Caenorhabditis elegans: one gene and its partner. The protein of the gene in region 1 interacts with the protein of each later gene in a pairwise test. Each region holds a gene or a part of one and is shown in the gene's direction. Other genes may lie near its edges.

Region 1 (15,028 bases):
AGGTATTTTGGCTTTTAAGAACTTTCCCACTGGCGCTGCTCCACCGTCAAATTTGATTTTCCTTTTGACATTGAATATAGTTTAAAATATACTACGTTTCCAGCAAAACAACGTTTACACATGTGTGGGAAGAACTCTTATCCATTGTGTCCACTTCACACCCACACCCACTATGGCATTGCGGTGCCAAAATGTCATTTATACACAAACAAAACTAATATTTCCGGTGGCTTCTTTTACTACGCCTTTGTTTTTCTGGCCTTTGCCATTTTTCGAAACTTTTTGTGCTTATCCATTTTGCTCCGATGAGTGCGACGACCCAAACGCTATTCTTGTGTGTGTCGTAGGTGTGCTGCTAGTTGGCTGTTATGGTTGTCTCCTTTCTTGATTCTACTCAACCATCAAAAATATTTCCTTATCAATTTGTAGAAAAATTGGAGTTTGTTCTCTTTTTTCCCTCCATACACGGAGCATTCTACCAAAGAGAAAAACGTTTTCATTAACCACATTTCGTTTTGTCCAAATATTTTTATATGCTGTCGCATAGATATGCACATTCTAAGAGCATGCTAGAAACTTATGAGTGTTCTGTGATCTCTTGATTTTCAATACCTTAATTGGATTATGCTCAATGATCTCGAGCCCTTCCACTGATGTGCAAAATATGTTTAGTTTCACCCATGGTAAACCACTATGCTGGACAGACAACTGATCAGTTTTGTAAATCAAAAGAACGCTTTGATACGAATAATCTGAACATCAGGGGTTTTATCAGTTTGCAACGTCGACGAAATAGGCGAAAAGGGAGAATATGCATTTTTGTTCAAATATTTAGCAAGAGCACTGAAAATTTGAAAAACATTTTTCTTTGTTTCAAGCGTTTTCTGAAATTCGCAATAAAAACAGTTGTTATGAACTTGTGATCGGTTTGAAGTTTCAGTCACATTTAGGTTTTTGTATTTACAATGAACTTTTAAGTCTACTCACAATTGTTTTCTTTTCTATTGTTGAAGTTATTACATTTTGTCTAGACTTCTTCATTATTGTTCAACTCATTGAGCCTGGGTCACATCAGAATTTAATTCAAAACGTGATGATTGTCTCTGTAGGCTGTCATTGCCCAATTCGCAGTAATCCTTGATATTCCCACCTCTGCGCTCCCTTCCTAACTGGATTGATCATTCACATCATCCTCACGTTCTCCTTGCTCCTCACATGCGTCAATGAGAATAAGAAGTAAACGAAAAAGAAAATGAGATGAGATGGTGAAACCGGATGAGAAAAAATAAAATAAAAGAAAAAAAAGGAATGTAGGAAAAATGTGTACATGTTCAATCGACCCCCATCTTTTTTTTCTCTTTCTCCATTTTTTACTTTCGCCTTTCATTCAATGTGTCTTTGCTTTTCCTGCATCCATGTCCGTCAGTCCCTCACAGAAACCTCCCTTGTCGTTCTCCACTCCGGACCTTCTGCCCCTTCTAAAAATAACTGAGAGACCTTTGAGATGAGGATTTCTTTAGATGTGGGACATGAGAGACGTCTGCGCCACACTTGGACCTTTTCCACATACACACTTGCCTTTTTGTCTGTCTATCCGCACAGCTAACCAAACAGAACCACTTTTTTGCCCGAATAATGACCATTTTCAAGCTCTCAATTTATGTTCTTCCCAGCTGTCCAGAAAAGGTTGTAATTTCTCTTTTATTTACGCCCACTTTTTCTAAATTATTGGGTTGGGCGATTTTTTTGAGATTTCGACAAGATGCGATTTATATTTTTGAAAGTCTACTGAAGAGACGGGTTTTTTAAAGATTTTTATAATCTTAATATATCACAAACATTTGTATCAAAACTTTTTCAAAAGTCCAAATGTTTTGTAAATTATCAATTTACCAAATTTTGGGTTTAAAGTTTTCAAAAATCTAAAAGCTCATTTTATACTTTCTAACCTTTACCAACATTTTAGGTTGAGTCCCTATGTTTATTTGAAATAACATTTAAGGAACTTGTGTTCTTCTTCAAGTTTCTTGAAACCAGTGTACGACTAGAATAATTCGCATTTTTTAGTTGCATTTTAAATGAGTAGTGTTGCTAGCTTTTTAAAACTTAATATATAGTTGTGAAGCGTATTCTACTTTAATCATTTATTGTTTTTTTTAAATTTTTATTTTTTTTTTTATTGAACCTTTATTTGATTGTTCCCTAAGCATTCCTAGAAAAGTGGAAATTTGATTTTTGAACATTGTACTTAAACAAAAAAGCAAGAAGCTCTCATTAATGATAGGTGCGCAAACGCACTCCAACCTAATCCGCGACATAATTTTCCCCCATGTACATATATCACGTTCTCTCACAATAAACCTCTGACAGGCCTAACCAATGTCTAGAAAAATGTGTTTTTTCTTCAGTTTATTTTATGGCCATGTTGTTGCAAGCATTGCATTTTATTTTACTTGCTAAAAAAATTTGACCAATGTTTCTGAACTGTAAGTTCAAGAAATTGAAGAAAGTTTATGCACCCGAAAAATTACTAAGTCTTCTCCCAAAGCGTTCTTTCATGTTTTTCAAGCATCTAAGACAAGCTGACGAAAGCAATGATGTTTTCGAATCTAACGGCTTCTTGGTTATTCAATTATTAGTCGGATAACTTTATTCAATTCATTTTGTGGTGTGAGCTATTTAGCTTTCAGCTTGCAGCTTTTGGTGTTTTCTCCAAGTAATAGTTCGAAGCCCGGTATTTTTTTAAATAGAAAATTTACAGAGATGCTAACTCCCACTTCTACTAACCTTTTTTTTAAGTTGAAAGCTCAATGCGTTTACCTTTTTATCTGAGATGATTAATATTTTAATTTTATTTGAACCAGTATTATTAGACGAAGATATATTTTTCAATTACTTATTTGATTTTTTCTCTTCAGACAGTTTATATTTTCTAAACCTTTTTGGTTTTTTATAAACATGAGCTTTTAACTTTGTTGAAGCTTGAGAAACTTTTAATTTTTCATGAAATATAACTTATTTTATGTTTCAACGTCTCGAATATCTTTCCCCTCTTTTAAATACTTTTACTTTTTTCTCGTTTTGCATATGACTCATCTACTTGCTGGAATGCAAAAAAGTATGATGAACAATTTTTAGGGTGAGGTTAGTAGAATACAAGTACTGCAGACACAATATACAATACCTTTCCACAAATGGAAGATTGTGTCTGTGTGTATGAGATGAAATAGATAGAGAGAGAAAGAGAGAAAGAGAGAGTGGCGAGTGTAGAAAGTAACATTTAACAGAAAACGGCATTGAAAGATAGAGAGAGAGAGATGCAGAGAGGCAAAGTGATAGAGAGATGGAGGAATAGTGGTGTCCTGCGTAACTTTTGTCGTCGTTTCTTATCACTTGTTTACGTGCACAGTGCCCCCCCCCCCCCCCCCCCCCCGATGATCAACATTTTTTTGTGAACAGACAACAACATTTTGAAAGGTGATTTCAACGAATTATCTTGTTGAGAGCAAACGGGTCTGAAGCATATTCGTGGCTTAGCAATCTTATCAATTAATTGGTTTTCTTCCAAAAAATTGAGTAAATTGTATAGTTCTATAAGGTTTTTGTAACTGAACACTATAACTTAAAAGAATAACTAAAAATGTACATGCGTCCCGAAATACTTACAAAAATATTTGCGAACCCACACCGTCTAAATGATTCAACAAAAAAAGTTTCGCAATATTATACTATCAGGCAATTTTTGTAAAATCTGACCATTACACATACGGGATTTCCTGAAATGTGTGGTCTTGCGAATTTCGCAACTTTTCATGACAAAAATGTGTTTGGTCACAAAAACGGTTTCTCGACACTTTTTCCGAAAAAAACGTTTGCACTTTTTCACTATTTTTAAATCTATGTTCTGCTTAATTTCATTTCCACTTTTCTCTTAAAACATTTGACAAAAACTATAAGTTCTGACTCCCAATACTTTTTTCGTCGTATTTCCCTTCCGTTAACTCACTCACTGCTCTAGTTCTCAATAACAATAAATCAAGCGCTCAGTTTTTTTCGAGTTTTTATGGGCCCTTTTTGGGGGAAATGAAGGATAAAACGATAAAAACTGCAAAAGTATACTAAAAATAGTAAATTGAAGTTTAAAAAATTTAATATTCCGAAAATTGAAAAAAAAAACCCCATGTTATATGAGTTACTTGCCGCCCACCCACGGAAATTATTTATTTCTGCGTTAGTCATGCAACTAGTAAGAAGATCCCGCGGAACCATGAGTTTTTCTTTGTGATATTTCCAAATTCAGTATCTCCAATTAAATGATTCACACTTCGTTTTCTCCCTGCTTTATAAATGACTCAGCTATTCATGGCAGCTCCATCTTGCTCCTCCTCCCCAGCTTCCATGTTGCACTTGTTCACATCACATCCCATAAAAATTCATGCACCCGCTCCAAGGTTACTATTGGTTCCCAGTGACAACACCAACAAAAACGGATTTCGGTTCTCGTTTTGGTCTGGCACCTTGATTTCAATTTGAATTTTTACGACAACACATCCCGGGCAACGGTTTTTCGCTTTGTTTTCACATTAATTTTTTCTCACTGGGATGAAAATGGGGGCCCCTCTTTTTTCCCTTTTTCTATTTTTCTGCTTCCTACTCACCAAATTGCTTCTGCTCTCTTCTCATTCTTCTATCTTTTCCTCACTTTTTTCCTATTCCTATTTTTCTTATTTCTTCTATTTTTCAACGATCTATTCCGCGTTTTTCTACAGAATTTCGTACTCTCATTCATCAAATCTGAGAACCCTCCGCCAGGAGAAAAAAAGAAGGAAAAAACGTGATTCCCAAATCTTTAATTAAAGGACCAGATTGATGGATAAGTAACGAAAGACCAACACTATCTATTTTACATTTAGATTCGAAAAAAGATTGAATGACACCTCTAAATTTTGTTCACAAAACCGCGAAACCACCATTTGTATTCTTTATTGTCATTTTTCCTCATTTTTCGCTTTGTGAAAAATTTACCCACCGTATTTTTTGCTGAAATCCGTGTCTCTTGCTCTTTCCTTATCCTCATTTAATTTTTGCAGACGATCGCTGGTCGGCGAATTCTACAATTTATGTAGATCGGTGCGGAACGTCTCTCTAGAGTCTTACATCATGGAGCGAAAAGGTAAGAAAAATCTCATTTACCTCAAATTTGCCAAAGCATCTAATTTCGACTTGTTGTAGGACGTGAGCGCAAGCTGCCGGGCATGAAGATCGTGATGCCAACACCGGTCGAGACGCCCACAATGAATCTGGAAGACAGATGTCTTATCAAGTAAGTATTAGGTGATACCCGTGTCGGGTTTGATATTGAACACGTAAAGACGGCGCGGCGAATTATGTAATAATAATATAAGTATGAGAAATTTTTGATTGATGCAGATTGACAAACGAGTCCGAAGAGATTGAGATTGCCGCCACCGACCTCGTCGTACTCGAAGAACTTGGAAAAGGTGGATATGGGATTGTGGAGAAAATGCAGCACAGGCAGAGCGGGATAATTATGGCGGTAAAAGTGAGTATCACAACAAGAACAGTTTGAAAAAATTAACTATGTACATATGTTTGGTAATTCACCAAAAGCGGTTTTTTCAAAAAAATGTTTCATTTTTTCGTAACTTTTCAAAAAGTAACTAAATTCAAATTCCTATTTGGCTGGTGCACTAATAAATAGGCAATTTGTATAAATTTAAGATATTCATAAAATACTTTTCTTTAATTAGGGAAAAACTATTCTAATTTGAATGCAACGTGTCATTTTTCACATACAATAGTTATTCAAAAGCAAATGCAAGTTAGCAAGATGAAGATTATTGAATTTAGGTGTGACTGCAAAAATAATAGTTAGTCTTCATTGCCAACGGAAAGCATTTCCATTTTTTGAAGGGCGCCGTGTGAGACGACACACTGATTGCCTTTTGGCTGTCGGCACACGCGCCCACACGTCACCTTTGAAAAGTTGGTGTATAAATTAAAATTTTCGTGAACAAAGGTAAATTATGGAAGTGAAGAAATGAGAATTTGAGGATAGGATTTCAAACGCAGGTCACTCGTTTCTGATATGATGAAAAAAATCTTTTTTTTTTTGAAAAGGAACATGAGAAATAGATTCAAAGTAGCTTGATATCAAACATTTATGGAATGTATTGAGATTTATCAATACTTACTGATTTCAAAAATTCATTTTCATCCATACACTAGAATAAGTGACTAGGTGATTGTACATCAATATGTATGTTAATAGGACATACCAACAATAAGAACAGTCTGTGACGCGGAAATTTTCCATAAAAAAGGTCACTTCATAGATTTCATATGTTGAACTTTCACTAGAACATATTGCAAATACTTCATATGTAGTTGTGGCAAAGTTCAAGATTAAAGTAAATACAACATGTAAATGGAAAACTGATCTGACCAAAAAATGTTTTCAAATCACGAATATTTAAATTCTCAATATAAAAATTAATCGAAACTACAGATTTAAATACTAAAAAAAAATTATAAATTAAATATTACTGGTTTGAACCGAGACTTAAGCAAATCGCGTATTGAAAAAAATAAAAAATGAATTTTCAAACTAAATCGAATTTATCTTTTAAATTGATCCTAAGCAAATTTCATTTTCTTACAGCGAATCAAATCATCAATCAACGATCAATCTCAAAAGCAGATGCTCAACGAGCTAGACGCGTGCAGGAGAAGTGATTGCTGTCCGCAAATGGTACGGTTCTATGGAGCAATGTTTCGCGAAGGTGATGTCTGGATTTGCATGGAAGTGATGGACACGTCGCTGGACAAATTTTACCGGCACGCATACAAAATTGGCAAACACATTCCAGAGCCGTTTATTGGGAAAATGGCTCTGTCGGTCATTGAAGGACTCAACTTTATGAAAGAGCAACTGAATTTGATTCATCGAGACGTGAAACCGTCGAACATTCTGTTAAATCGACATGGACAAGTCAAGATTTGCGATTTTGGAATTTCAGGTCACTTGACAAACAGCATGGCCAAGGTACGGAAAATCGATAAAAATGAGACCTCTATTAAAAAAATGAAATGCAATTTTATTTGCCGAATGATGTCATGCCAATCAGAGTTATCTTTCAATTTCATCATGACCGGGAAGAAAAATTTCAAAATATATATAGTGTTTCGATTTACAGACTGTACAAGCCGGATGCAAACCTTACATGCCACCAGAGAGAATTGATGGAGAGACTAAGTCAGCCTATGATGTGAGAGCTGATGTATGGAGTTTGGGTATAACAATAATTGAAATCGCCGTTGGCACCCATCCCTACGCAAATTGGAAAACCCCATTTGAACAATTGAAACAGGTTGTGAAAGAGCCGCCACCAAAATTGCCGATGGAAAGTGGTTTTAGTGTTGATTGTCAGTACTTTGTCAAGAGATGGTGAGTTTTTTGGAGTTTCTGGGTGTGGAGTTGGGAAGAGTATGAAAATTTGCAAATTGCAGTCTTGAAAAGGATTACAATGAACGTCCCAAATATCCGGAATTATTGGCGATGCCGTTTATGGAGCAGGCAAGAAATGAGAAGCAATTTAGTATGGCTCGGTTTATCAATGAGGTAAGATTTGCTGCTATCAAAAAGACAATTTTTTTGCTGAAAAATTGAGAAAAACAATCTGTAAATAAATGGGTAAAATTAAATTAAATGTTTATTAATTTCTCCATTTAAATGAAACGTGAAATTGATTTTTAATTTTTAGGCTTAAAAATTGTTGTCTAAGTATAATTGTCCTCCTAAGCCTTAAAATACAAAAGAGTTTTATTTTCTATGTCTAAAAATTCAAGTTTAGCGTTAAAATTTTTGGACGATAGCTTTTAGTGAAAATCGGTATTTTGTTACAAAACACTTTATTGTAGAAACTAAACACTTTAAAATAAATTGAAAATTGGTGAATGATGTCAATTTTGTGAAGTGTGCTTAAATTGCTTTAAGAAATAACAAAAATGCAAAATAAGTGCAATAAAAAAACAATCAAAAAGTCAGGTTATTTCTGAGAAATTTCGAAGAGTAAAAAATGTTGTCAAAAAATCAGTTCGGTACATCAGCAAAGAAAAGTATAGATCAACTTCAAAACATCACCAAAACTTAGCATGTACAGTTTGTTTCCAGCAGGACCAACTTACAGTAAAAGCACCACTGAATGTTATTTTTTATAATTTTTTGTATTTTAATCTGAAAATCGTTTTATATCTGACAATCTTGAATCTTACTAAGGTCCGATGGGCACCTTCTGACGGTTCCCTAGTTAGGTAAAAACTATGCTAGATTTGCGAAAAATTGCAAAAACTTCTGAATTCATTCATTGCAGATTCTCGACACTGTTTGGCGACGATGAGCATCGGGTGTGCCGAATGGCGAACAAGTCTTTTTCTAGTACGACACGTCTCAAATTGAGAATAGCGTTTTTTTGTACGCCTCGCTGGCCGTCAATGGAACATCGATATTTGTTGAATAATCAGCAACGTGGACGGAATAAATTATCACTTCTTTTCCCTTTTTGTCAAATATTGAATTTTATGTTCTTATGTTTTGTTTATATCATATATCTCTCAGATTCCAATTATTTCTTTGCTTCTGGTAACCGTTTCTTTCCGAGTCAACCGCTTATCCTTATTTCATTTTCAATTTTATAGGAAATCTTTCTCTATCGCTTCTTTTTTCGTGTCTTCTCCTCGTAGTTATAATCAATCATCGGTGTTTTTCTACATTTTTTTTACGTTTAAATGTTCAAGTAGTTTATTAGCATCTGTGATTTTTATTTTCAAATGGTAGCTCATAATTTTCCAATCAAACTCGAAATGACCTAGTTGTTTTCTTAAATGATTTTAGTAGTCATTCCTATCTCATCTCATCAGACTTCTCATTTCAATTGTTTAACTTCTTCCTCTGCATATACAGTGCCATTTTCGATGTCAAATTCGTATTCAACATGGATTATTCTACTCTAGAAATCAAAAATGTATTCTATTGCACCCCTCCTCCCGCATTTGTTTCATCTGTGGGTTAATAATGATATTTATAAATTGATGTGCTGTTACAAAAACGAAAACAATCAACATCACTTATCCTTCTTTCTATTTTTCTTCTTCTCTGGTCTTATGCGCTTATTCTCCTTATAACAGTTCTTGCCCAGAAAATCAGCGTACACGTTTCATTTTCTTTTCTGTTCGTTTTCTCCCCTAACTCAGACATTACAAATTTCTAAACGTTTTGTTTTCAATTACACCAACCATCCCCCACTTTTCTCCCTCACCCCATATCAAGGATATGAGTCTCTTTTGGTTTATATTGCTCGAGTAAAGATTTTTTTTTAATTCAGATAACGGTTAAATATCGTGAATTGATGTTGCAATGTCTTCCTGTTTCAGAGCTATGTAAAAACTGACGCCAGTGATAAAATAATGTGGCAACCAGAGGAAGGAAAAATATAAGAATGTGAAAAAGCAAGTTTAGTTCAAATTTTTCAATAGTAAATCACACTACGACTTGATTGGGATAGTTGGTTTTGGTTGCTTTTCAAGATATTTATAAAAACGTTTTTTAAATTTTCCAATATATAAATAGAGAACGAGTGAATATCATTTTCCTTGTTTGAATTGCCATAATTGATAAATTGAAAATATCTGGAAAATAATATAAACAAAAAAGACCAAGAAATATAAATGTTTTGTTTCATTAAGGCACATCATGTACGGACTTCTATTTTACTATTATTTCTATCGTTTTCACCGGAGTTTGCTAAAGTTGCAAAATTCTTAAAAACAACTGATGCTTGTTTCAGAATTGCAACCGACACAACCGACAGCAAAGTTGCCAAAGCTTTCCCAATCATCAAGCATACATTTTTGTTGAACATAAACCTTGGAGTGTTTTCGTGAAACTTTGTTAGAAAAATTTTTTCATTAGAAGTGAAATGCTACTAACTTTCTGGATTGTTGACGCCGGGTTTGCCAGAGCTATCAAATATAAAATTACGAGTGTGGTCACAGATGTCGAGCCACAAGATTCCCGGTGGTTGAGTATGAGCAGCCACAATACGTTTTTATATATATGATGTAACTTTTTGAAACATGTTGAAACTTTTTGAATTTCAATAATAACAATTTTCTTTCTAAATATTGCAATTGACGTTGCAAAAAGTTTTCACTACATGAAGTGAGCAGTACCATTATAAAAACAATAAATTTTCTTGAATCGGTACATGAAATTTTCAGTTTTGAGGATTTGAAAAATATGTAAATACGAAATATGAAGAATACATAAACCACAGAAACATGATCAATTATCAAAACACGGATTTCATTAATTAAAACAGTAAATCAAGAATTCTTACTTAATCATATTTTAACAGCATTATAATTGTATTTCTCACGAAAGGAAAGCTACAGCAGGAGGGAAAAAACAGTAAATTTGATTAAGTTGGGGAAAACCTATTTCTAAACCGTTCTGGTTCTTAAGGAAGTGGTATTGTCTGTGCGTTTTTCGCCTTAATGACAAAAAATTTCAATATGGCATATAAATTTTATATGATTTTCTCAATTTTGCAAAAAAAAATTCGATAAGGCAGAATTACTTCCAATATCCCGCGCAAATGAATGACCTTGTTTTGACATTTTTTTTTTCGTTTTCCGGCTGTGTTAATCAATTTTTACTTGGTTTTTTGTTTATTTTGTAATTAAAACAAATGTTTTTCATAATTGCAGGCACTTCGTGATGAAAATTCGATTTAAAAATTCACCGAAACTGTAAAATTGTCCTAAAATCGATAATTCAACGTTTTAAAGACCTTTTTTGCAAAAAAAATGTCTGAATATTTGAAAAACTGTGTTTCAAGTCAATAATTGAAGTAAGAGAAAAAACAAAAATCTTGAAACTAGGCATTCATGTGCACGAGAATTCGAAAATGATTCGGTCATTTTGATTTAATAGCAAATGTGAAAAAATGCATTAAAAAAAATTCAGAATAACTTTATAATTGTTTTGCATTTTGGTATATTGAGTTGTTTTTGTCATTTAAAACAAAAAAAGTCACTTACGATACTAACTCATTTTTTAAAATTCAGGCTCTTTTCCAAAACCTACTTATTCCACAACCAACCTAACTAGTTATTTCAGTCGCATAAACAATTCAAATATTCAAATAGCTGTTCATTCAATTTTCTTGTTGATTTGATTTTCTTTTCATTGATCCTCTATATGCATTTTTTTTCAATCTCGCTTTTGATTTGGATGAGCTCCCAGCTTCCATGTTCATCTTCTTATTTCTTATTTCCCTCTACACTTTTCATTTATTTTCAGTTTCTTACTTTTATGTGCATAGCCATATTATTTTTCTCTGAATACTCCACCCCACCACATTTTTGTGTGCCTCTAAAAGAAATCGATTGATGCGTTCCACATTTTTTTGCCTCGTGTTCTAGGCACGCTTTCCGTCTAACCAGATTCAAAAATCTACTCATATCGATGTAAACAGACGTCTCTGTCCAATTACGTATCTGCTCGCTCAAACACACGCGCTCTCGCACATTGAGAGAGATTACGCAAAATTTCGAAACTCGGAGAGTGCGAGACGGTTAGCCGACAGAAAAATACTGACCGCAGACGGCCGGAGCACAAGGGGCACATACGCAAAGGCGGGTCTCGTCGCGAATGGGGGTGTGTACGCAGCCGAATTCACCGTCCTCGGCCTAAACACACCGGGAGGCTCTTCTTTTCCTCCATTTGTGTTCTCCACGCGCACACCTATCACGTTCGTTGGATTTCCTCCTGTTTTGGCCTAAATATTTTGGATATTTGAATTCGAATTCATTCGACAATTTCCTAATTTATCTCTCAGCCTAAAACATATTTAAGCCTCCCTTTCCTCATTCTCTAAAATTTGCTCCGGCCTAAAAAGTTCGAAATCCTAAAATTTATCATTTTCAGTAACCAACCTTCACGAATTCATCATGGGAAAGGAAAAGGTCCATATTAACATTGTCGTCATCGGACATGTCGACTCCGGAAAGTCCACCACCACTGGACACTTGATCTACAAGTGCGGAGGAATCGACAAGCGTACCATTGAGAAGTTCGAGAAGGAAGCTCAAGAAATGGGAAAGGGATCCTTCAAGTACGCCTGGGTTCTCGACAAGCTGAAGGCCGAGCGTGAACGTGGTATCACCATCGATATTGCCCTCTGGAAGTTCGAGACTGCCAAGTACTACATCACCATTATTGATGCCCCAGGACATCGTGATTTCATCAAGAACATGATTACCGGTTAGTTTATTGCAAATTTCAGGCAATAAGATTAAATTTCGAAATATTTCGCAAAATTTTAAGCCCAAAATTTAGGCCAGATTTTAGGAATTTCACAATTTCTTCTAATTTCACAAAATTTCAAATTTCACTAATTTCACAATATTGCAGGAACCTCCCAAGCCGATTGCGCCGTTTTGGTCGTCGCCTGCGGAACCGGAGAGTTCGAGGCCGGAATCTCCAAGAACGGACAAACCCGCGAGCATGCTCTCCTTGCCCAGACCCTTGGAGTCAAGCAGCTCATCGTCGCTTGCAACAAGATGGACTCCACCGAGCCACCATTCTCTGAGGCTCGTTTCACTGAGATCACCAACGAGGTCTCCGGATTCATCAAGAAGATCGGATACAATCCAAAGGCTGTTCCATTTGTCCCAATCTCCGGATTCAACGGAGACAACATGCTTGAGGTCTCCTCGAACATGCCATGGTTCAAGGGATGGGCTGTTGAACGCAAGGAAGGAAACGCTTCCGGAAAGACCCTCCTCGAGGCTCTTGACTCCATCATCCCACCACAACGCCCAACTGACCGACCACTCCGTCTTCCACTCCAGGATGTGTACAAGATCGGAGGAATTGGAACCGTCCCAGTCGGACGTGTTGAGACCGGAATCATCAAGCCAGGAATGGTCGTCACCTTCGCCCCACAGAACGTGACCACTGAAGTCAAGTCCGTCGAGATGCACCACGAGTCTCTTCCAGAGGCCGTCCCAGGAGACAACGTCGGATTCAACGTCAAGAACGTTTCCGTCAAGGACATCCGTCGTGGATCCGTCTGCTCCGACTCCAAGCAAGATCCAGCCAAGGAGGCCCGTACCTTCCACGCTCAGGTTATCATCATGAACCATCCAGGACAAATCTCCAATGGATACACTCCAGTTCTTGATTGCCACACCGCTCACATCGCCTGCAAGTTCAACGAGCTTAAGGAGAAGGTAAGCAATATATTTAGTTACTTTCCAAAGCTCATCCTCATTTTTACAGGTCGATCGTCGTACCGGTAAGAAGGTTGAGGACTTCCCAAAATTCCTCAAGTCCGGAGATGCTGGAATCGTCGAGCTCATCCCAACCAAGCCACTTTGCGTTGAGTCCTTCACCGACTACGCTCCACTCGGACGTTTCGCCGTTCGTGACATGCGTCAAACCGTCGCTGTCGGAGTCATCAAGTCTGTTGAGAAGTCCGATGGATCATCCGGAAAGGTCACCAAGTCCGCCCAGAAGGCTGCTCCAAAGAAGAAGTAAACACTTGGGTCACTGCTTCCTTCATTCAACCTTCTCATGTTACTCCTTCGCTTATCTGTTATCCTGTTAACCCCCTCCCACCCATAGCTTGTAATATAACTTTCAAAACTCTAATTTTTTTGAGCATGGGTGCTCATTGTTCATCTCGTCCACGCAGCCTTTTGTACAAAAGTCGTGTGTTTGGGCAACACTTTTTTGTTTCAAAAAACCGTCCATCCAAAAAAACCTTCGCTACGTATTTATTAAGGCTCGTTATGTTTTCCCCAAAACAAAGCGGTCTTCATCAAAAATAATAAATACAGTTACTTGTACCATTTGATCATCACTAATGACTCCCCCCGACCCCCCCCCCCAATCCTCCCACTCCAAAAATCCTTTAAAAACTGTTATGTTAATATGTCATGCATTGTTTTGTCGCATTCTGTCATCCATCGTTTTGTTTCGAAAGTTTGTGTGCAAATAATTGACGATATATTCACAAATAAAAAATATTTTGTTATTGAACCAATTGTGTTGAGTCATCTGATGAAATAGATTGTCTCTCAATCTGCTTACTCCCAGCAATTTCTACAAACGATGCGAACAGATAAGATTGCATCTTCCCCATCGTTTTGGCATGCAAACCAACGTGGATGACCTTGGACGAGTCGCTCTTTTCATTTACTATTTGATGATTGCTGCTCGGTCAGCGTGGAGGGTAGAAAGAGAAATAGGGTCGGACGTTTGGTGAAAAAGAGCGACGACAAATATTGGCCCATCACAGAGCACTCCGATTGATGCAGCGATAGGTCAATTTTTGTTTAAACTAGCGGAGCTACTACTTATTTCCGCAAAGTATGAACGAAAGGTGAGCAAGTCGTGAATGGTCGGAGATCAATCGTAGAGAGAAGATAAAAAGTCTGAATACGTTTGAGCTTCTAATTTCATTATAACTTCCTGATTTGGGTGTTCTGCAAACTAAATATTAAATAAAAGGCGAGGCTAATTTTCAGTTCATCAAACGTTTGAAATCAACTAAATACACTTGATAAAAGGTTGAAAAGATTAGGGAAAATTGTGTTTGTTTTCCAATAGCCCGTTATTACGTGAAAAGTCAAAAGAAAGAGTACAACTTAAGGAACAAATGTTTGCAGTAATCTAATTTTAGTACTCAAGCGGGTTTGTTAAACTTTTAGGTCATTTTCCATTCTAACTTCAAGGGATTCATAGCTTCAGTTTAATGTTTTGAAAAAAAATCTGATTTTGCACAGGAGTCATGTGGCATTGGTGTTTCATTGTCATAGGAAAATTAAACCCGGCAAAAGTGTTCCGAAATAAATATTAATCGAACGAGCAATCTGCAAAATGGGGAAAATTGTTATTTCCACTATTTGCAGTGTTTTGTTTTCAAATGCAAATCTGTAA
Region 2 (16,308 bases), on another chromosome or scaffold:
CTCGACAATATTTAAAAGTATGAAAAAAAAACTTTGAAAAATTTTTTTTTTTTTATTTTTCGGAAAATTTCAAAAATAGCCAATATAGGTGTCAAATTGAAGCTGATGAGGAAGTAAATTCAAAAAATGTTTAATTTAAAATGTTTAACGTTTAATTTTTTAGGCCAGACTGCAAAAAAAAAATCCCCTTAAAAAATTCTATTAGAAAAACGAAAAATCGATACAAAACTGATGAGAAAACTAAAGACGAACACAACATTCGAAATAGGAAAATGAAGCAATTATATAAAAGAGAATTGACATCAGCGCCTTCATTCCCGAAATCGGTGAGCGAAAGTTGATGCGACCTTGGGGGGTCTTGCGGGATTTATGGGGGTTTACGGCAGTCTGGGAGAATTAACAGCTTTTATGTGTTACAAAGTATTACGCATTATCACTAATTATCAGAGTTTTCAGTAAGGATAAAAAAAAATATTTAAAAAAAAATTTTTTTCAAAAAATAAATAATCGATTTGTTTTCGCAAATTCATAATAACTGATATTGATTTTTTTCAGAAATAAACTTCAATCTTTGCAGAAATCAATAAATAATCGATGTTTTTTTATTAGAAATCGAATTTCTCAGTAATAAAAAAAAATAAAAAAATTAACTTTCAGATTTTTAATATTTTTTTTAAAAATATAATTTGATTTTATTTGCTCCAGACAACCTTTTCCTTGAAAAATTCTTGAAAAAGAAAATGAGGGGTTTTGAAAATTTTTTGAAATTTTTTGAAATTTTGAAAAAAAAAATTTCAAAAAAAATTTTTTTCAAATAATTTTTTTCCAAAAAACTTATTTTTCAAAATTTTTGAAAATTTCCGGCAAATCGACAATTTGCCGGAATTGAAAATTTCCGGCAAATCAGCAAATTGCCGGAATTGAAAATTTCCGGCAAATCGGCAAATTGCCGGAATTGAAAATTTCCTCTAAAATCGGCAAACCGGCGATTTGCCGGAATTGAAAATTTCCGGAAAATCGGCAAACTGGCGGAATTGAAAAATTCTGGCAAATATGCAAATGGGCAAATTGCCGGAATTGAAAATTTCCTCTAAAATCGGCAAACCGGCGATTTGCCGGAATTGAAAATTTCCGGAAAATCGGCAAACTGGCGGAATTGAAAAATTCTGGCAAATATGCAAATCGGCAAATTGCCGGAATTGAAAATTTCCTCTAAAATCGGCAAACCGGCGATTTGCCGGAATTGAAAATTTCCGGCAAATCGGCAAACTGGCGGAATTGAAAAATTCTGGCAAATATGCAAATCGGCAAATTGCCGGAATTGAAAATTTCCTCTAAAATCGGCAAACCGGCGATTTGCCGGAATTGAAAATTTCCGGCAAATCGACAATTTGCCGGAATTGAAAATTTCCGGAAAATCGGCAAACTGGCGGAATTGAAAAATTCTGGCAAATATGCAAATGGGCAAATTGCCGGAATTGAAATTTTCCTCTAAAATCGGCAAACCGGCGATTTGCCGGAATTGAAAATTTCCGGCAAATCGGCAATTTGAGCTTGTAATAGGCTTTGGATATAGTCCAGAGAGGTCAAGCTTTCCAGAAGAAATCAAGCCGATGGCAGTGGGATAGCTGAAAATTTCCAATAATTGGCCACCTTGGAACTAGGAATGTTGGCGCCAAGCTGTCCCATTACGGTTTGATCTACAAAAAATGCGGGAATTTTTCGCCCAGAAAAATGTGAATCTGCGTCTCAACTCCCGCATTTTTTACTGCAAACTCAAAATAATGGTTACCAAGGTGAAATTTATCGATAAATTTGAATTTCTACATGAAAATCAGCAACATTAATTCTTGCGCTGAGAACTCACAAAAAAGGTTTTATGGGTGAAATTTAACGAGGATTTCGAACTTTGACATAAAAATCAGCAAAAATGAATTTTAATTCAGTTTTCCTGAGGATAAAGCATAAAAACTCATTTTTTGACTTTTCAACTTCAGTTTCAAGACTTTTAACTAACAAATTCAGATTCAGCACCCCATTTTACCCCTAGGCACATGGTTTTTACAAAAAAGTGAGAAATTCTGCATTTTGTCGTAAAAACTGCGGTGTTTGCGTACTTTTGAAGCTACCGTACCCCAAAATGTTCAATATTTGCACTGCAAACTCACAAAAAGGTTTTTCTAGGGTGAAATGTCACGAAGATTTCAAATTTTTACATGAAAATCTGCAAAAATGAATTTTAATACAATTTTCCTGACGATAAAGTCATAAAAACTCATTTTTTGACATTTCAACTTTAGTTTTATGAATTTTAACTAACAAATTCAGATTCAGCACCTCATTTTACCCATAGGCATGTGATTTTTACAAAAAATTGAGAAATTCTGCATTTTGTCGTAAGCACTGCGGTGTTTGCGTTCTTTTGAAGCTACCGTACCCCAAAAAAAATGTTTTTTTTTGTTGAAAATTGGAAGGAAAATCCTCAGTTTGCGTTCCAATTCGAATTACCGCCAAGAGTTCAAGATGTTCGATGGAGCGCGCTTGCATCATTTTAGTTTATTTTTGGATCTTTTTGACGGGAAATTCAATTTCCAAAAAACCGAAAAAAAATCAGTAAAATAATGCAAGCGCGCTCCATCGAACAAATTAAATTGGCGGCAATTCAAAATTTTTCAAAAAATTGCAGAAAAGCGCTAAAAATATTTAAAAACGGTTAAAAAATAGCTCAGAGCTTGAAAAGGTTCGACCACTGCCGTGTCTTTTAAGTACGCCGTTTGTTTTTTCCGGTTCTCCAAGCCACATTGAGCTTTTCTCGGTTCGCCCTGTCACATCGAAAACATTGTCTGTGGCCAGAGAACAAGAAAAATCTGAAAAATCATTATTTAAAATCGAAAAAAAAGAAAAACAATACCGGCGAAAAATCAAGGAAAAAAGGAACTATAACAATCGATTTTTTCAACAAAAAAGAGGAATTTCCTAAAATCTAAACTCAAAAAATTGAAATTAAAAAATTAAATAAACAGAGAGAGAGAGAGAGGGGAATAATTGAATGAAGATTTGTGAGACCGAAAGCCATATGGAAGATAATTTAATGGAAGACTCCGAGAAGATCAGACTCGCGGAAGATTGAGTATTCCTTGTCCTCGACGACGACCTGAAATTGGGGAAAAATTGTTGGGATTTCCTGCGAAAATCGGTCGAAAAAATATGTTTTTGCGCAATTTTCGCGGTCTGTAAGCAAAAAATTAATTAATTTTCAGGTATTTTGTCAAAATTTTGGCCTAAAACTATATTTCACTGGAAAAAACTGACATTTTACCGCCTGAAATTCAGTTTTTTTGGCGTAAAAATCATATTTTAACCTAGTTTTTCCTTAAAAAACGAAGGAAATTTGGGATTTTTTCAAAGAAAATGCTAGATTTCCGGTGAAAATCGGCACTTTTTGTGGATTTTCAGCGAAAATAAACTGATTTTCAGGTTTTTTCCTAATAATTTAGAGCGAAAAACCCATGAAATTCAGTTTTTTGGCGTAAAAATCGTACTTTAATTCAGTTTTTCTCGAAATTCGTTCATAAAAATGAATTTTTACAGAGAAAATGCTAGATTTCCGGTGAAAATCGGCAAATTTTGTGCAATTTTCGTTGGGTTTTAGCGTAAATGTACTATATTAAAGGTATTTCCCCAATAATTTAGAGCGAAAAGCGCGTGATATTCAGTTTTTGGGGGAAAAATCGTATTTTAATACAATTTTTCCTGATTTTTCTGAAAAAATCTTGGATTTCGGCTGAAAAAACACAATTTTTGTGCAATTTTCGTTGATTTCAATGACTTTTCAGTAATATAACGCTACTTTTACACTGAAATGTTAAAAAAAATCCCGATTTTCGTCCAAATTGTGTGAAATTTCAACGGAAATTCAGATTTTCACATTAAAAATTCGCCAATTAATCCATATTTTCGCTCGAAATTCGTCGCATTTTGTACCTTGGTGCCTCCGTATTCTGGGAGAAGGACACGATCTCCTGGCTTCACAGTCAATGCGACGAGCTCTCCCTTCTCGTTGCGAAGTCCGGCTCCGGCAGAGACGACGGTGGCTTCAAGGACCTGAAATATTCGAAAATTAGGTGGAAATTGCTTTAATTTGAGTGAAAATTCGGTAATTTCGGATAAAAATTGGACAAAAACCTCCGCGAGCAGTCGGAGAGCGTGTTGGCAGGGAAAATCGATAATTGCATCATTACACCAGACTTTACGGAATTTTCGGTGAAAATTAACATTTTTCGTATAAAATTGAAGGTTTTTAGCTAGAAACTGTGTTTTAGACGCCAAGTTGCACCATTTTGACGGTGAAATTGGCATTTTTGTGCTAGAAATCTGCTCCAAGACGTTGAAATTTATCAGTTTTCACCTGAAAAATCAATTTTTAGGCCAAAAATTGCTCACTTTTCCCTGTGACTTCTCCGGGAGCATGATTCCTCCCTTTGTCTTGGTCTCGGCGGCGACTCTCTCGACGAGCACACGATCATAGAGTGGCTTGAAGGTCTTGAGGACATTGCTCTGCAAAAAAATACGCGTTTAATTCGGAGAAAACACCGGGAAAATAGCTTACCGATCGGCGGACAGCGGTGAGGAACATTTTTCGGCTGAAAAATTGGTTTTTTGAGTTTTAAAATTTATTTTTAGCGGGAAATTACATGAAAACAACGAAAAAACCCGAAGAAACCCGCGAAAATTCAGAAAATGATCAAAAAACCAAAAGAAGCTTCGAGAAAAAAAGCAGAAAATAAATGTGCGGCGCGAAAAATCTCGTGCGGCAAACTTGCAAATCTAGGCGTGTCGGGCCAATGGCAGACACCGCGCCGCAAATTCAGCCAATCAGCGCGCTCAGCTCCACCTAGAAAAGTGTGCGCACCTTGCAAAACTGGGCGGAGCGAGTGAAATGATGCAAAAGTCTATTCTGATGTAAATTAGCCATTTTACATCAAAATTTGCGTCATTTTCGTTATTTTTCTCTCATTTTTCATATTTTGAACGAAAAATTGAGGTTTTTTGCTTCTATTTTCATCAGAAACCATTGAAAAATGCTTATTTTTGGGCCATTTTTCGTCGAAATTAGGGGAAAAAACTATTCTACAGTTTTCCCAGCTATTTTCTCATTTATTCCTGTATTTTTCAGTCATTACCTGCTTCCCAGACGATAATGCAAGGCTTCTCGCTTCATTTTCATAAAAAACGATTGAAAAATGCTTATTTATAGGCCATTTATCGTCTAAATTAGGGGAAATATCTGTTTTACCGTTTTCCCAGCCGATTTCTCATCCATTCTCGTTATTTTTCACTCCTTTTCTGCTTCTCAGACGATAATGCAAGGCTTCTCGCTTCATTTTCGATGAGAAACTCTGATTTTGCTCGCATTTTCGCCTTTCCGCTGCAGATTTTCACACAATTTTCGTAGTTTTTCAGACACAAAAGATGCTTCGCCTCGCCAGAAAGGGACTTCAGACCGCCGTCGTCAGATCTTACGCCAAGGACGTCAAGTTCGGAGCCGAAGGACGACAGGCCATGCTCGTCGGAGTCAACCTGCTCGCCGACGCCGTCTCTGTCACTATGGGCCCAAAAGTACGGGGATTTTGATGTGAAAATTGAGGAAAAAATGCTGTAAAAAAATCTATTTTAACGTATTTTTATACACAAAACTTCCGGTTTAATGCAAAATTTAATTTTTTTTTCTTCATAAATACAGCCTCTAAAACTCCAAACTCTTTCAGGGAAGAAACGTGATCATCGAGCAGTCGTGGGGAAGCCCAAAGATCACAAAGGACGGAGTCACCGTCGCGAAATCCATCGACCTCAAGGACAAATACCAGAACCTGGGAGCCAAGCTCATTCAAGATGTCGCCAACAAGGCTAATGAGGAGGCTGGAGACGGAACCACCTGCGCCACAGTTCTCGCCAGAGCCATCGCCAAAGAGGGATTCGAGAGCATTCGTCAAGGCGGAAACGCTGTCGAGATCCGTCGTGGAGTCATGAACGCCGTCGAAGTCGTCGTTGCAGAGCTCAAGAAGATCTCCAAGAAGGTTAATACCGGGAAATTGTGGATTTAAATTCAAAAGCCACAGTGATTTTTGGAAAAATTGGGATTTTTGACCCAATTTTGAAGCGATTTTCATTTGATGTTAGAGGAAAAACTAGAATTTCGCTCAAATCTGCTTGAAAATCGCGAATTTGTGGCTAAAATCAGTTGCCAGGAATTCAAAATCTTCAAAAAACCGTCATTTTTTCCCAATTCGGGCCATAAAGCTTATTTGTTCGACGGAAAAACCTTCATATTCCGGAAAACTGACAAAATTTCACTGATTTGCTCTGAAAATCTTGAAAAACCGTCATTTTTCCCCTACTCAGGACGAAAAGCTTATTGTTTGACGGAAAAACCCGAATATTCCCGAAAAATTACAAATTTTCACTGATTTGTCTCGAAAAACCTTGAAAATTCAAAAAGTTCGCCAAAATGTGGTGCTTTTTGGAACAATTGGCAGCTCTGATGCAATTTTTCATTCAATGTTGGCCTGAAAAGCTGAAAATATCGAATTTTTGGCCAAAATCAATAAAAACCCGCAATTTTCCCCAATTCAGGACGAAAGCACCTAATATCCCGGAAAATTTGCAAAATTTCGTGTTTTTTCAAACAGTTGTGAGCTCTGATCCAATTTTGAAGCGGTATTCATTCAATGTTGGCCTGAAAAGCTGAAAATATCGAATTTTTGGCCAAAATCCATAGAAACCCCGCAATTTTTACCCAATTCAGAACGAAAATCTTATTTTGTTTGACGGAAAAACCTTAAAAATCCGGAAAGCTGACAAAATTTCACTGATTTGCCCTGAAAAACCTTGAAAAGCCACTATTTTTTACCCAATTCAGGACGAAAAGCTTGTTGTTTGAATGAAAAAGCCCTAATATCCCGAAAAAATGGCCAAAAATTCACAGATTTGTAGGGAAATCGCGACTATTTCTGACTATATTTGCTCGATATACCTGAATTTTTACTTGTTTTAAACCAAAAATCGCGCCTAGAAACCTAAAAAATCAGAAAAAAAACTAAATTTAGCAATAATTTAACTAAAAAAAACTTGTTCCTGCAGGTCACCACCCCCGAAGAGATCGCTCAAGTCGCCACAATTTCCGCCAATGGAGACACCGTCGTCGGAAATCTCATCAGTGACGCCATGAAGAAGGTCGGAACCACTGGAGTCATCACTGTTAAGGACGGAAAAACGCTGAACGATGAGCTCGAGCTTATCGAGGGAATGAAGTTCGACAGAGGATACATCTCGCCGTACTTTATCACCTCTGCGAAAGGAGCTAAAGTCGAGTACGAGAAGGCTCTTGTCTTGTTGAGCGAGAAGAAGATCAGCCAAGTTCAGGATATTGTGCCGGCTCTTGAGCTCGCCAACAAGCTCCGCCGTCCATTGGTTATCATTGCCGAGGATGTTGATGGAGAGGCTCTTACCACTCTTGTTCTTAATAGACTTAAGGTACAGACGACAAGAAGCGAAAAACTGCAAATTTTGTCGAAAACCAGCGTTGAAACTCCATTTTTTGACGGAAATTCGCGTTATTTCGATTATTGCCCCCAAATACGGAGAAAAATGCGAAATTTGCTGAAACCCGACGTTTTCTTGATTAGTTTACCCCCAAATACGAAAAAAAAGTACAAAATTCGAAATTTTCAGCCAGGAATTTGGATTTCTCTTGAAATTTTGAATTTTTCAGCCAGGAATTTGGATTTTCCCTGAAATTTTGAATTTTTCAGCCAAAAATTTGGATTTTTCTTGAAAACTTCAATTTTTCAGCCAAGAATTTGGATTTCTCCTGAAATGTTGAATTTTCCACCCAAAAATTTTGATTCTTCTTGAAATTCGAACTTTCCAGCCAAAATTTTTCGCAATTTCGACTGAAAAATTCGTTTAAAAGCCGAAAATTACTGTTTTTCGGATCAGTTTCAGCTTGATTTTACAAACTTTTGGAAACTACAGATTTCTGCCGGAAATTACTTATTTTGGCATTAAAAACTTTTAATATCCCGATTTTTGGTTCGAAAAAATGTGTTTTTTTGCCAATTTCGACTGAAAAATGGCTAAAAATGCTGCAAAAATTTTGTATTCGTCCAAAAAATCCCCGGAAATTCACGTTTTTAGCCTAGAAAACTTGAATTTTTATCAGAAAATTCAAGTTCAAAGAACCGCGAGCATTTTTTGATCAGTGATGTTTGTTAGCAGCAGGAGGCTACTCGCAACAAAATACGAGCGACCTTGATTAGAGAATGATAATATATCTTCTTTTTCTTATCAGTTGAGAGAGTTTTACAAATTTTACGGCAAGAAAATAGAAAAAAAGCAGAAGAAACTAGGGATTCAGCAAGAAAATCGCCAGGAAATTTCATAATTTCCTGGATTTTCTCCAAAAACATGAAGATTTCACCTGAAAATCGCGCTAAATTAAAGTTAATTAATGTGTTTTACACTGAAAAACCTTTAAAACCGCAGAATTTTCTTCCAGGTCGGATTTATTCAGTATTCTACATAATTTTCCATTTTTATCAGTGAAAAAGTGCGCATTGACTTCTGAGAAAGTCTATTTTTGCTATTTTTGCTAAAAAATACATATTTTCACTGAAAAACCTCTAAACTCCATCATTTTCCACGATTTTAAGTTTAAAAAAAAACTAATTTTTCACTAAAAACCCTGTAAAACCGCAGAATTTTCTCTTCCAGGTCGGACTTCAAGTCGTCGCAATCAAGGCTCCAGGATTCGGAGATAACCGCAAGAACACGCTCAAGGATATGGGAATTGCGACGGGAGCAACGATCTTTGGAGATGACTCGAATCTCATTAAGATCGAGGATATCACAGCCAACGATCTCGGAGAAGTCGATGAGGTCACCATCACCAAGGACGATACTCTTCTTCTTCGCGGGCGTGGAGATCAAACAGAGATCGAGAAGCGAATCGAGCACATCACCGATGAAATTGAGCAATCGACGAGCGATTACGAGAAGGAGAAGCTTAATGAGCGTCTCGCCAAGTTGAGCAAGGGAGTCGCTGTGCTCAAGATTGGAGGAGGATCTGAAGTTGAAGTTGGAGAGAAGAAGGTGTGCGGAATTTGGCTGAAATTGGAGAAAAATTGAAGAAAAACTGGCTATTTTCCGTGGGAAAATGATCAAAATCCGTTCATTTTTGAGCTTTTTTTAGCAGAAAATTGGTTTAAAAAAACCTCAATTTCTACCAGATTTTTGTCGAGAAACCTGATTTTAAAACCTTTTTTGTGCCGTTTGTGCCATTGGAAACTCGTTAAAACTCAGTTTTTTATTTTTATTTGCAACAAAACGCAAGATTCTCTTTGTGCTCCTTTCGAGTAAAATTTATGGTAAATTCCCCCATTTTTGTGAAAGAAACCCACTAAATCTGCAGATTTTTCTTGAAAATTTAAATTTTTATTTAAACAATCTGACTTTTTCTTACAAATTTGAATTTTTTTAGCCAAAAATCTGAATTTTTCAGCCAAAAATTTGAATTTTTCTTGAAAATTTGATTTTTTCAGCCAAAAATTTGGATTTTTCTTGAAAGTTAGAATTTTTTAGTCGATCATTTTCAGCTTGATTTTGCCGTGTAAACTACAGATTTCTGCCGGAAAACATTAAAATTTGCGATTTTAGCAATTTCCAGCCGATTTTTGGTTCGAAAAAATGGCTATTTTGCCAATTTGAATTTTTCAGACAAAATTTTGCATTTTCCTTAAAAATTTGATATTTTCAGCCAAAAAATTGGATTTTCCCTGAAAATTTGATATTTTCAGCCAAAAATATGGATGTTTCTTAAAATTCGAACTTTCTAGCCGAAATTTTTCGCAATTGCCACTTAAAATTTTGTTGTTAGAAGCCGAAAATAACTGTTTTTTTCGCAATTTCAACTGAAAAAATTGATAAAAAAACGCGGAAAAAACTGTTAAATTGATTTTTCCCGCTGAGCATGCTCAAAAATAGCAGAAATTTTGGTTTTCCTGCGCGGAAAAATCTTGATTTCCACCAGATTTTATCGGTTTTCTGCAATTTTTTGTATGATTTTTCATCAATTTTTTTTTCATTACAGGACCGTGTCACCGATGCTCTGTGTGCCACGCGTGCCGCTGTCGAAGAAGGAATCGTTCCAGGAGGAGGTGTTGCTCTTCTCAGATCTCTGACAGCACTCAAAAACTACAAAGCAGCCAACGAGGATCAACAGATCGGTGTGAATATCGTCAAGAAGGCTCTCACTCAGCCAATCGCCACAATCGTCAAAAATGCCGGTCTTGAGCCATCGTCGATTATTGATGAAGTCACCGGAAACAGCAATACATCATATGGTTATGATGCGCTCAACGGAAAGTTCGTTGACATGTTCGAGGCTGGAATTATCGATCCAACTAAGGTATATACAGCGTCAAAAATTTGAATTTTTCGTGAAAATTTGAATTTTTGAGACAAAAATTTTGGATTTACCTCCAAAATTTGAATTTTTAGCCAAAAAATTTGAATTTTTCGTGAAAATTTGAATTTTTGAGCCAAAAATTTGGATTTTCCTCCAAAATTTTAATGTTTTAGCCAAAAATTGCATTATTTCACTGAAAATTTTCATTTTTAAGCCAAAAATTAGGAATTTTCTTGAAAATTTGAAGTTTTCAGGCGGAAAATTTGGATTTTACGTGAAAATTTAAATTTTTCAGCCAAAAATTGGAGTTTTTCAGCAGAAATTATTTGAAAGTAGTTCAAAAATTGGTCAAAAAATGGAAAAAAATTGCTTCTGGCCGTCTTTTTTTTTTTTTTGGAAAAAAAAACCCTGAAAATTCAACATTTCAAGAAAAATCGAAAATTTTTATGCAAAAAAAAATCTCCCCAAAAACCGCAATTTTCCAAATTTCCAGGTGGTTCGCACAGCTCTCCAAGATGCTTCAGGAGTCGCCTCACTTCTCGCCACAACCGAATGCGTAGTCACCGAAATTCCAAAGGAAGAAGCAGTTGGTGGACCAGCCGGTGGAATGGGTGGAATGGGTGGAATGGGCGGTATGGGAGGAATGGGATTCTAAGCTCTCAATCTCTCATTGAAATAACGACACCGATGGATTGATTTTCTCTCTAAAACACTGGTTTTTGCTCAATTTTGTCGTTTTTCCCATCATTTTTTCCCCAAAAATTTCCCCAAAAAAATTATGATCTTTTGTGCTCTGAGCCATTTGTTTTTTTCTTGTTTTACGGCTCTTTTTCCCCTTTTTTTGATGATAACTTTTCAATGGTGTTTTTTTTTTTAATTTTTTCGCAATTTTAGGACCTCAATTTTTTTTAGTTTAGTGTTTTTCCCCTTGTTTTTAGAGTATAATATATAGAATCTCCTTGTTTTTTTTTTCCGTTTTTTTCTTTGTTTTCACTCTCCTCCCCACCCCGTTTTTCTCTATATAATATCACATTTATAAATTATATTTGTATAGACGAGTAGTACCCCCCACCTGCACACATTTCCGCTTTTTGCTGTGAGGGAGGTCGCCATGGTTACAGGTGGCGGCTCTCTGCAGCAGCTTTTTCTCACGAACATTTGGATTTTTTACCTGGAAAATTCGAATTTTTGAGCTAAAAACTATAATTTTCTTTGAAAATCGGATTTTTTTAAGCTAAAATTTTGCATGTTTTGAAATTTCAAGTTATTTAGCCAGAAAATTTTGATTTTTATTGAAAATTCGAATTTTTCAGCCAATTTTTGAATTTTTCTGAAAAATTTAAATTTTTAAGCTTAAAATTTGGATTTTTGGTGAAAAATCGATTTTTTCAACAAAAAAATTAAATTTTTTTTAACTATTCGAATTTTTTTGCCAAAAATTTAATTTTTTAAGTATAAAATTCAATTTTTCTTGAAAATTTGAATTTTTAGCCAAAAAATTTGGATTTTTCAAGAAAATGCCATTTTTGAGCCGAAAATTTGAACTTTTTAACCCTCAAATTCAAATTTTTCTTTTTTTTTCTTTTTTTTTAAAGATTTTTTCAGCCAAAAATTTGGGTTATTTCTTGAGATTTCGAATTTTTTGGCCAAAAAATGGGTTTTTCACTGAAAATTCAAAAATTTTTAAGCGTAAAATTTGAAAATTTCCTGACAATTTTGAATTTTACCAGAATATTCGAATTTTTGAGCCGAAAAAATTGGAATTTTCCTGTAAATTTGAAATTTTTAATTTTTTTAAGCCAAAATTTTTTAGAATTTTCTTAAAAGTTTGAATTTTTGGCCAAAAACTTGTAATTTTCCGGAAAATTTGAATTTTCCAGCAAAAAAATGAGCGGAACCATACGAAATGTCTACTTTATAATGGAGGAAATCGAGATTTTCGACATTTTTCAGCGATTTTCAGTTTTTCTGAAACTTGAGCACTATGAGATGCTGAAAATGGGCGATTTTTTGAAAAATGGTGATTTTTAGCTTCAATTTGTCACCTTTATTGGCTTGAATCTGGCAATTTCGGAAAATTTGGGTCCCGACACGAAAATCACCGGTTACTGTAGCCTCAATTTCGTGGCGGGACCCAAATTTTGTGAAAGTTGGCGAATTAAGATAAAAATTAGATTCTCCTCACTTTTGGCTTCAATTTGACGCCCATATTGCCTTAATTCCGTCAATTTTGAAAATTTTGGGTCCCACCACGAAAATGGAGCTACAGTAACCCACTATTTTCGTGATGGGACCCAAAAATTACAAATTTGTCAGAAACTAGGCATGATGGGGGTCATTTTGAAGCTGAAAGTGAGAAGAAGTCGAATTTTCATTTAGTTTTTAGAAAAAAAAAGTTTTCAAAAAAAATTCCAAAAAAAGTGTTTTTTTTTTGGAAATTTTTTTCCAATTTTCCAAATTTTCAAAAATATCTTTAATTTCGAATTCTCCTCATTTTTGATCTTCAATCTGACCTCCATATTGCCTTAATTCCGTCAATTTTGAAAATTTTGGGTCCCACCACGAAATTGAAGCTACAGTAACCGGTGATTTTCGTGTCGGGACCCAAATTTTGTGAAAGTTGGCGGAATATAGGCAATATGGGGCTTAAATTGAAGCTGAAAGTGAGGAGAATTCAAATTTTCACTTGGGTCTTAGAAATAAGAAAGTTTTCAGAAAAAAAAAAATTTCGAAACAATTTTTTTTCGGATATTTTTTTTCCAATTTTCGAAATTCGTACTAAAATTTATTTATTTTTGAATTCTCCTCACTTTTAGCTTTCAAATGACCCCCATCATGCCTATATTCCGCCAAATTTCACAAAATTTGGGGTCTCGCCGCGAAATTTAAGCTACAGTAACCCACTATTTTCGTGGTGGGACCCAAAACTTGTGAAAATCGGCGGAATATAGGCAATATGGGTGTTTTTTTAAAGCTAAAAATGAGGAGAATTCGATTTTCTACTTAGTTTTTCGAAATGAAGAAGTTTTCAGAAAAAATTGAAGTTTACCGGAATTTTTTTTTTGCAATTTTTCAAATTCTTCAAAAATATCCCTAATTTCGAATTCTCCTCACCTTAAGCTTCAATTTGACCCCCATATTGCCTTCATTCCGGTCAATTTTGAACATCTTGGGTCCCGCCACGAAATTGAAGCTACAGTAACCGGCTATTTTCGTGGCGGGACCCACATTTTGTGAAAGTTGGCGGAATATAGGCATGATGTTATTTTAAAGCTGAAAATGAGAAAAATTCAATTTTTCGTTTAATTTTTAGAATTAATGAAGTTTTCAAAAGAAAAAAAAATTATGAAACATTTTTTTTTCAATTTTTGAAACTTTTCAAAAATATCTTTGATTTTGAATTCTCCTCACTTTAAGCTTCAATTTGACGCCCATATTGCCTTAATTCCGGTCAATTTTGAACAATTTCGGGTCCCACCACGAAAACTCCAACTACAGTAACCGGGTATTTTCGTGGCGGGACCCAAATTTTAGGAAAGTTGGCGGAATGTAGGCATGATGGGTGTCAAATTGAAGCTAAAAATGAGGCGAATTCAAATTTATACATAATTTTTAGAAATAATGAAATTTTCAAAAAAAAAACATGCAAAAAATTGAAGTTTTCCAGATGTTTTTTTCCAATTTTCAAAATTTCCCAAAAATATCTTCAATTTTGAATTTTCCTCATTTTTAGCTTCAATCTGACCTCCATATTGCCTTAATTCCGTCAATTCGTCAAATTTTGGGTCCCACCACGAAATTGAAGCTACAGTAACCGGTGATTTTCGTGTCGGGACCCAAATTTTGTGAAAGTTGACAGAATATAGGCAATATGGGGCTTAAATTGAAGCTGAAAGTGAGGAGAATTCAAATTTATACATAATTTTTAGAAATAATGAAATTTTCAAAAAAAAAAACATGCAAAAAATTGAAGTTTTCCAGATGTTTTTTTCCAATTTTCAAAATTTCCCAAAAATATTTTCAATTTCGAATTTTCCTCACTTTCAGCTTCAATTTAACACCTTTATTGGCTGGAATCTGGCAATTTCGGAAAATTTGGGTCCCACCACGAAATTGAAGCTACAGTAACCCACTATTTTCGTGGCGGGACCCAAATTTTAGGAAAGTTGGCGGAATATAGGCAATATGGGGCCTCAATTGAAGCTGGAAGTGAATAGAATTCGAATTTTCATTTAGTTTTTAGAAATAATAAAGTTTTCAGAAAAAAATAATGCAAAAAATTGAAGTTTTCAAGATTTTTTTTTCTAATTTTCAAAAATTTTCAAAACTATCCTTAATTTCGAATTCTCCCCACTATTAGCTTTAATTTGACACACATCACGCCTTTATTCCGCCAACTTTCACAAATTTTGGGTCCCGCCACGAAATTGAAGCTACAGTAACCGGCTATTTTCGTGGCGGGACCCACATTTTGTGAAAGTTGGCGGAATATAGGCATGATGGGTGTCATTTGAATGCTGAGAATAAGGAGAATTCAAATTTATGATCAGTTTTCAAAACCAATCCCTTTTTGAAAAAAAAATTCTTGAAAAAAAAATTTCAAAAAAATTCCAAAAAAAAATCAAAAATTTTTATTTTCTCAAATCTCTAATTTTCAGAACTCCCAAATGGCCTAAAATTTCCAGTTTTACTTGAATCCACGTGGTTTGAAAAACCCGAATTTGAGGTCGAAATCCGTACAAATGGGCACATTTACGCCGGAATTTTGGACATAAATGGGGCGGAGCCTGGCGATAAGGGGGCGGAGCCTAATGTAATTTTTTAGTAAAAAAGTTTCTTGATTTTGTTAAAAATTAAGCAAAAATCGAAAAAAAAATTCTGAAAATTTTTTTTTTTTTAAATGTCAAATTTTTTTTCTGAATTTTTTCGAAAATTAAAAAATCCTCCTAAAAATCAATTATTCAGTAAAAAATGTCGGAATTTATATATATATGGAAGAAATTATTGATTTTTTTCGGGAAAAACCTGAAAAGCGATATTAAAAAACAATTTTTTTAGGCCAAAATTTTCAAATTCAAAAAAAAAAAAATTTTTTTTCAAAAAAAATCAATATTTCCCAAAATTCCAGCAAAACCTCTCAATTTCCGGCACCGCAAAAGTGTATAACATCAACGACCCCACCGATCATATTACCCTAAAATGCACAATTCTAATCGAAGATCCGGTTGCCGAGAGAGCCGAGAAACCGGAGGTGGTGGCACCGACGAGGGATGAGCAGACGCAGACAGAGAGAGAAAAATTAAGAAAAGTGGTGGAGAAGGGTGTTCAGGTATGGTTTTAGTAGAATATTTGAAAAAATCCAAATTTTTTTGGAATTAAAAAAAAATTTTGGAATTTGAAAAAAAAAAAAAATCTGAAAATTGCAAAAAAAACTTAATGACTGAATAAAACTAAAAATTCTAAGCATTTTTCCTTTGTTAGGTTTTCTGATATCTCTACTCCCCGCGGAGATACACCGCTTCAAAGTTTGATCGACGAGAGAGGGGGAGACGCAGGCGGCGAGAGCGCTCTAGCTGTCAGCGCCTCCCCTCTCTCGCCGCTCAAACTTTGAAGCGGCATAGCTCCGCGGGGAGTGGAGTTATCAAAAAACTTCAATAAGGAAAAATGGTTAGAATTTTAAGTTTTATTCATTTACAATGTTGTTTTTTCCAAACAGTAAAAAAAAAATTAATAAATGTTTATTTTTATTTTTTGGAAAAAACAACATTGTAAATGTATAAAACTAAAAATTCTAAACTTTTTTCTTTATTGAAGTTTTCTGATATCTCTACTCCCCGCGGAGA

The links.
Region 2: the proteins of sek-1 (region 1) and hsp-60 interact in a protein complementation assay, tested with the Caenorhabditis elegans proteins (one study listed by BioGRID).

What each region holds. Positions count from the first base shown.
Region 1 is NC_003284.9:7,811,644-7,826,671, forward strand, and holds sek-1 (Dual specificity mitogen-activated protein kinase kinase sek-1), read left to right. Parts: upstream 1-5,090; 5' UTR 5,091-5,160; coding exon 5,161-5,173; intron 5,174-5,232; coding exon 5,233-5,323; intron 5,324-5,430; coding exon 5,431-5,563; intron 5,564-6,682; coding exon 6,683-7,066; intron 7,067-7,217; coding exon 7,218-7,468; intron 7,469-7,530; coding exon 7,531-7,642; intron 7,643-8,393; coding exon 8,394-8,420; 3' UTR 8,421-9,393; downstream 9,394-15,028. Other genes in the region: eef-1A.2 (Elongation factor 1-alpha), read left to right, coding at 12,034-12,346, 12,497-13,317, 13,367-13,624. UniProt on the Caenorhabditis elegans protein: Dual specificity protein kinase which acts as an essential component of the p38 signal transduction pathway which is also composed of upstream effector nsy-1 and downstream effector pmk-1. May phosphorylate pmk-1.
Region 2 is NC_003281.10:1,614,287-1,630,594, forward strand, and holds hsp-60 (Chaperonin homolog Hsp-60, mitochondrial), read left to right. Parts: upstream 1-5,455; 5' UTR 5,456-5,472; coding exon 5,473-5,619; intron 5,620-5,768; coding exon 5,769-6,077; intron 6,078-7,140; coding exon 7,141-7,533; intron 7,534-8,772; coding exon 8,773-9,150; intron 9,151-10,147; coding exon 10,148-10,465; intron 10,466-10,958; coding exon 10,959-11,120; 3' UTR 11,121-11,517; downstream 11,518-16,308. Other genes in the region: Y22D7AL.10 (10 kDa heat shock protein, mitochondrial), read right to left, coding at 3,089-3,154, 3,985-4,104, 4,444-4,557, 4,610-4,636; Y22D7AL.4 (Transcription initiation factor TFIID subunit 7), read left to right, coding at 12,353-12,485, 15,124-15,278, 15,594-15,794. UniProt on the Caenorhabditis elegans protein: Implicated in mitochondrial protein import and macromolecular assembly. May facilitate the correct folding of imported proteins.